Lepisosteus oculatus: one gene and its partner. The main gene of each other region encodes a partner of the protein of the gene in region 2 in a complex. Links are inferred from orthologs where the notes say so. Each region holds a gene or a part of one and is shown on either strand. Other genes may lie near its edges.

Evidence for each region. Proteins that work in one complex are often made in the same cells at the same time.
Region 1: mybbp1a (region 2) and dek share a complex: the UniProt entries of both Homo sapiens proteins name them as parts of the B-WICH complex. The link is inferred for Lepisosteus oculatus from reciprocal best matches to the Homo sapiens genes MYBBP1A and DEK.

The regions. Positions count from the first base shown.
Region 1 is NC_090705.1:27,704,410-27,708,164, reverse strand, and holds the start of dek (protein DEK), read left to right. Parts: upstream 1-1,343; 5' UTR 1,344-1,358; coding exon 1,359-1,430; intron 1,431-3,755. UniProt on the Homo sapiens protein: Involved in chromatin organization.
Region 2 is NC_090721.1:11,357,531-11,361,285, reverse strand, and holds the start of mybbp1a (myb-binding protein 1A-like protein), read left to right. Parts: upstream 1-1,011; 5' UTR 1,012-1,096; coding exon 1,097-1,288; intron 1,289-2,485; coding exon 2,486-2,581; intron 2,582-3,261; coding exon 3,262-3,345; intron 3,346-3,755. UniProt on the Homo sapiens protein: May activate or repress transcription via interactions with sequence specific DNA-binding proteins. Repression may be mediated at least in part by histone deacetylase activity (HDAC activity).

The DNA of each region.
Region 1 (3,755 bases), on a different chromosome or scaffold from region 2:
ACCGAGTCAACTGAGGCGAGCAAAATATAGGCCATGAATTTGATCACGCATGGATATTTAGCTGGATCTTTCGAGTGTGAGTTCGATAAAGCACACTTTATTTGTCATTGCTGTTATTCCGCGAGCTTAGCTCTTGCAGGTCTCACCTTGGCTCGGTTTGGGAGCGCGTGAGCGGTGCGCAGTTAGCTTGGCGCTGGAGAGCATGCAAAGCTCGGTTCTCTGCAGGCAAACAACGGCAACTTTTCGCGCCTTAGTTTTGTAAAACACATTTAGGTTAATATATTTTTGTGTTTCAAATCGGATTTCGCGGATATTTATGCTAGTTAAGAAGCCTTCCGTCGAGGTACGAGTCGATTATATGTTTTAAACGATTATAAAGAAAGCCCATGCCTGTATTATCGGGCATTTAAACGTTTAAAGAGGAATGCTTGTCTTACTCATTAAGTTAAATTAAGCTATTTAACTTTTGCCTTTTTTTCCCTGGCTCTTTTTAAAATTGGCGCCTTCCGTAGAGAATATCGCATTGAAAGTGAAACCCGCAGAAGTGGCGCTGTCACAAAAGCATAATTGACTGAGTTACTAAGTTCAGTAGTAGGCGGACTTCTGAATTATTTTTAAACTGTAAGGGCACGTGTCCATGTGTTTGTACAAAATGCAAGGCACTGAGGTAGTGTTTTTATCTTATAGGTTTTAGTACACTGCATTTTGCGCGACTGTTTACAGGAATACCTGTAAGTGTTTTGTATTAAAAATGACTGACTTCATAGGCGTTTGTAATACTGCCGTTATATATTTCAATATTTATCAGTGCCCATGTACACCAATAGTATTTGGGACACTTTACAGGGTAAAACTAAAATCAAAATAACGCTTGAACCCGATAAAGGTAGAGATAAAAAACGTGGGAAAAGCAAACATTAAACTAAACATAACTTTAGGTAAGTTTTTTAGTCTAGATTTAAAAACCGTAAGATGTGAAAGCTCACGACCCAAGGCACTTGAACTGATAAGAAGTGCTAAAAATGTCTAAGGGAGTGTAAAGCCCTGCTTTATACACAGGGAGCAATACGAGTATTACGCGTTGTAGGGATTTAGTGTGTAGGTCTTTAAAAGAGCTGAATTCACTGGGTAATAGAGAGCTTGTGATGACGTTTCAAAATTGGGGTGATGTGGCCAGGGAGCCTTAAATGCATTAGACGGAATGGCTCGTTTTTGGATAGTTTGAAGTCTGTTAAGGGAGTGGGTGGGGAGACCACTGTATGAAGTATTGCAGTAATCCAGCTGATGTGACAAATGCATGAATCAGACTTTCTGCAGCAGTGTCAAGAAAAGATTGATTTTCTGAAGTGACTTTATAGATGGCTTACAAAAAAGTGCATCACAACAGAGGTCAGGATCAAAGAAGACCCTCTATCCCCAGATTTCTCAAAGTAGGTCATAAAGTGAGGCTATGGTTTCCAAGGTGTAGGGAATTTAGTAAATGGGATGTATATGCCATGGGAATTGTGCACATTACCTCAGTGTTTGTCATAAGGAGGAAATTTTAGCTCAGCTGGGCCTCGGTTTCACTCACAGTTTGTCATAAGTGAGACGTCACATGAGGGAATGAATGGAATAGAGATGTAAAGGTAAATGTGGCCATCATAAAAATGAAAGTGCCATTTTCTTTCCAGTTAGACTGCCTAATGGGAGTAAGAAGATTAAAAACAGAAAAGGTCTTAGGATAGAGGAAGAGAATATGTCAGTTTTGGTCTTCAATGGCAACATATTGTTCCTGGTTTGACAAATAAGATTAAAACCAATTCAAAGCTGTTCCAGTTACACATCTACAGGCTACAAGGCAGTCTAACTGAATGCAGCTGTCAGATCTAATAGGACCAATAGAGAACTAGAGCCAGAGTTTAATTGAAGGTAGTTTAGAACTTTGTACAAGGCTTTCTCTGTACTGTTGGCTAATCTAAAACAAGACTGACACTAAATGTATTTTAAGGAAGGACAAATGAGATTGTAATTGAATGGCTACAAGTTTTTCCAAGATCTTTGAAAGTAAGAGAAGGTGGAGTATTTAGAGTCCTTAACAGTGACAGAATAGGTGCTATCGAGTCTGAATTGTTGAAATAATTAACCCTGTTTTTACTGCTTAGACAATCTTGGTTGTAATGTAAATCAGATCTAGTTAGGGCATCAGTGACAGAAGCAGGAGCACTTTTTTTTCCATTACAGAAAGCAAATCAATCTGGGCAGTGGCTTTGATAATACAGTTGGGATGTTAAAATGTATAAAAAGTGATCTGATAGGGTTTTGAGTGAAATGACTAATTCATTGACATTTACATTGTTTGCAATAACTAGATTAAGAAGTCCTTTGGTATGAGTCAGATCATCAACAAATTGAACTAGATTAAAGGACCAAGTAAAGGTTTATTCCATGCTGAAAAGAGAAGAAAAGAAACACAATGTTTCGGCTGTGGAGCCTTCTTCGGGTGTGATGAAATTTTTCTTTGGATGCAGATTAAAGGAGGAGAGGATATTGTAAAAATCAGAAAGAAGACAGGTTAAAATAAAGCCTGAACAGTTAACAAGCTTCAACCTAAATTGCAAATAGAGGTGATGGGAGGGGTTTATTTAAACTTTTTTTGTGCCAAACGTATACTACCAAATTAGTTAAGGGTAACATGTACCTGCATAGACCTCTTTATGATTTTGCATAGCTTGAAAATGGCTAAAAATAAGATGCAATATTATTTGACAAGTGAGAGTAACAATGAACTCCCATAATGCGTGTCGTCCTCCACAGTGTCTGATAGATTACATTTTTGTCAACTATCTAAATGAAGGTACATATGAAATTTAGGAACTGGTACAACACTGTATACTAGTTACAAATTTTACTTTTTTTAATTGTCTGAAGCAAATTTAAAAATACAACACAGATCGAATATTGATCTCAATGAGCCTGTGAGACTGCCTCGCCAAGAAGATTTTTCAGAGAAATTAAAATTTGTACAGCCCTTGAGGGCTGAAGAGTATTTAAATACACAGATTTTAGTTCCAAATTATGTGACTTTCTAAGTAATTTTAAACTTTCTTAATTGGTTATTCTAGTGGTCCCGGCCAGTCCTCGAGCTGTGATGTGTCCGCAATCCAGCTGGGCATTTAACAACCTGAAACCAGTCATTATTGGCTTAGTTGGACTAATTTAACAAGTTCTCACAGTTTGTGAGCTGCTGCTATAAAAACTTAACCTATAAAAGAAAAACAGACATCCAGGACCAGAATTGGACAACCCGGATCACATTTAAACTTTGTTACTAGTGCTTACTAGTAAAAACTGTAGGATTGGGGCCCTCCAGGATCAAGGCTGGACATCTCATTCCCATGAGAGAAAAAGGTTATAATAGGATACTGTTATTGTCCTTTCTCATTTCGGTTTTTCAGTATGTGATTTTTAAGGGGCAATTGATCTGCTCATATTAACTTATACAATTGCAGTACTTGGCAATGATGAAGTCTAATTGAAGAAAAAATTAGCGAAACGATCCCTAACCTCTGATTTGATTCCCTGTTTGACAAATAGTACAGAGTGCTATTGCATAGCTGATCCATCTCACATTTTTAAAATTGCAGACTGTTGTGTAGGTTGCCATTATTTTAAAATTAGTCTTTGCAGATTCACACAATGTAATGCATTGTAGGTGTGTTGTTTGCTTTACGTAGTTTGTAAAACTTTAAACTTGTCAGATTGCTTTTACAGTG
Region 2 (3,755 bases):
TAATGGAAAGAGAAATCAGAGTAAGAGATTGAGCCATTAATGTGAGGGACTTGAAATTCTGCGGAGCTGAACCATTAATTGTGTATTGTAAAAGCATTTTGGAGAGAGAAATCGGCATTGGTTGCATTTAACGTCAACCAGACAACTCTGATAATTCATTATGAAGCTACATCTAGGTGTTTTTGTTCATGGAATATTATTTTAGATAAGAGCATCAGAAAGGCAACAGATAAGAGAAAGCCATCGAGCTCAGCTTTCTTTTTCCACCAAGGAAGGGTGTTCCAGAAGCCCACCACTGTCATCAGCCACTGTGAGAAGCCCAGTATTTCCTATTATTATATATTAACAGTTTTTGTTTTGCTGCCTACACTTGTCTACATTAAATGCCACCTGTGAATGTTTGCCCAGTCTTTTTTTTTCCCCATTGTGCAGTATTAGTTTGTTTCCCTGCGTTGGAATTGCTGTGGTTTACCTAGGGGTGTACGGATGGTACTGTGGGGAGTGTAGTGTAGTAAAATATTTTGAAAATAGCAGATCAGAATGGCAAGTCAGCTTTCTCGAATGCTTTCTTAACATAATTAGCCTTGTAAAAATTTAAATTCATTAACTAAATAGTGGGGAAAGTAGAGTGAGCACTAGTGTAAAGACTCTGGATTATTTAAAACATAAAAATAATCAAACCTAATGACGAACCCTATATTCTCCACAGAATTAGGCATTGGGAACTGTAACATTCCAAAGCTATTATAAGCAGCTCTCTAGAAAGGCAACTCACATATATCATACCCATATATCATACTTAAAAGATCCTTTCCACGGTAGAAAATGTGAACTTCACTTTTGCACTAACTATACCAAAATCTCAGTGACTGATAAAAAGCAAATGTTATATCTTTCATGAATGGAAAAACAATGTACGAGGTACCAAACCTTAAAATTCTGGAACCCTTATTCTGTGGATTAATTTAACACGAACCTTCCAGCCTGCTGCACGCTGAGCGATCTTCCGATTGACCGGAACACGTGGGTTCCTGCTACAATGCGATCGTTGCTGTAACACGTTTTCTGCTGAAGTGCTGCCGATATTGATATTTACATGGCAGCAGCGGTTGCTAGCATGGGGGAGATAGAAACCGAGCCGGTGCGGCCCAAAGTGACTGATGCCAAAGGAATCCTCCAGCAGAATCGAGAGTTCCTTGATTTTTTTTGGGATATCGTGAAACCGGAGCAAGAAATACGATTAAAAGCCATCGAAGATCTGATCTGCTATCTGAAAAACAGCGAGAAGGTAGGACTGTAATGATTATTTACGTACATTGCTATAATAGGTTTCCTGGGTTTTTGATAGAATTAGGGATATATTTAGGGGGCAAATACAAATTAATTTTAAAACAAAATGTTCAACGAGACTTTTCAGGAGTTTTGTGCATACACAAGACTTTCCAGACTTGGTTTAACCACGTGGGTTTTGGTGACACTCATGGGCTTCCTTTGGCTCTTGATAAAACGTCTTTTTAGGACCTGCTATAAGGACCTTAAAATGTAGTAGTTATGCTAAGCGAATCAGCAGCGTGTTCTTAAAAGTTTGCCCAGAATCTCAGTTGTTAAAAGAAAGGTGATTTTTATTTTGTTGTTTTTGATTACTTGTCAATGCTGCGAGACATTTGATATGTCTTTGCTTTGTGTGCATTTTATTTTTGTGCATTTTTAATAATGTTACGCAAGGTTTAACATACGTTTTCAGCAGTTTTATCATTTCGATATTTTTTTCAATTCATGTTTTTATTTCTGTGTTTGGTTAGGAATTTTGTTTATTCCTCTTGCATTCTTATTATTTGATAAACAACGAGCTTTTATTAAGAAGCTTGTCGAGGACTGTATTTGCAATGAATAAATAATTGACTCGCCTAACCCAGTGAGTAACGTTGGTTAGCTATGCATTTTCATTGCAGGAATGTTAAAGAGCTGATGGGGAATGATTTAGTTTGATGCCTTTGATGTCAAATTAACTTTGTACAGTTTTATACAGCTTGGAATGGTCTTGAATGAACTTTGCTTAATGGTATAAGAGCACTATCTCACCCAGGGCGTGAACTCACAATTATTCAGGTACAAGTCTAGAGGTCTGACCACTCCTGCACACTTCAGTGGTAGTGTTTTATTTAGGCAGCATTGCTATTGTGGAGGAGTGGTGAGGAGGTGTTTGTGGTTCAGATCCTAGTGGGACACAGCAGTTGTACCATTTAGCATAGTGCATCCCTCAGATTTCTCTATTAAATTGCCAAGTTCTTTACATTTGGACAAAAGTGTCAACCAAATAAAACACATTATTCTTCCTTTTTATAGTTTGACCCTGTAGGTCTTCCCATGCGGAAATAATTAGGTACTTGTTTTTTACATCTGGGTGATCTGTGCCCCACAAAGGGTCTCTGGGTGTGAGTGTGATGGGCTAATCTTCTCTTCCCTCTTTTGCTCTCCCTCCCAGCCGGATGAGCTGAAATACACCCTGAAGCGACTGGTGGACGGGCTGTCCCACACTAGAGAGACTGCGCGGCCTGGCTTCAGCTTGGCTCTGGCCCAGGTCAGTGTCCTCCACAGCTGTCTCTGAGTGTGTGTCAGGAAATGAAGAATCACAGCTTAAACATCGTGTTAGAACCTGTTAGTAGGTAAAAAACAAGTAACACGAGCAGTGCTTCTTACTGCCAAGTTAAAGAAGTTGTCCAGCACTGAACAACATAAGGATGATTACTTAGGAGAGGAAGCTATTCTACCCCATTTGCTAGGAGTATGATCCAAGGATCCCATCCAGCTGTTTCTTAAAGGATGCCAAAGGATCACCTTCACATGGCTGGGCAACCTGTTCCATAACTCTTAAGAGTAAAGACCTGTTTCCTTTTTTCTCTGTTTTAAATATGCTTCGACCTAATTTTCACTGGTATCCTATGGGTTACGTTACAAATACAAGTAAAACAGACTAGAAAATAATCACGCTTGTTACAGGATAATTATACATGACTTAGAGTTCGAGAATTTCCAGCCCGAATGCTCGGCCACCTGAATTCTTTCTCTGCACCCTGAAGATGTTTTTTTGTCCTGCAGCAGAAGGCTGTGAGAGTGTCTGAGCTGTATGGAACTCAAATGCATTTGCATTACAGTTACATTGAAATGCAACTTGTGTTTTTCAACAGCCGGGTTCACTGTGATGATTGTGTTGTACTCTTTCATAGTAACCCAGACATAAACATATGGTGTTTATTGCAGGTCCTGCAGGTGTTTGAGGAGATCCCACTGCAGACAACACTGGACCATATTAAGGAAAAGAACAACCTGGAGACAGTGAAGAAGGTCAGGAAACAGTCTTTCCACACTCCCGACTGGATACCTAGAGCTCCCAAGTACCACATTCTTGCCATGGAGTCCTCTCCTGTCCATGGTCTCCTGATCTGATGTAGATGGTCTTCCTAGCCATGGAGATGTCTGGAAAGTTTGTGGAAAAATTACATTAAACTCTAAAGTATTGGGACAGAAATGTCAACTAAATACTGAAGAAAAGGTCTAATTAAATACTGACGGTCTTAATGTGGAAAGCGATGAAGATGGCTACGTGTTCTCAGAACGGGTTTTAGTAATTAGTAAACCTTCTGCCAGCTTCTGAAAATTAGGACGTTTTATTGGATTTTAAGACTTGGGAAACGGGTAGATCCAGCTCTGTTGCCTTGGTTATTTCTCTGATGGCCTCACCTGATTTTTATTAT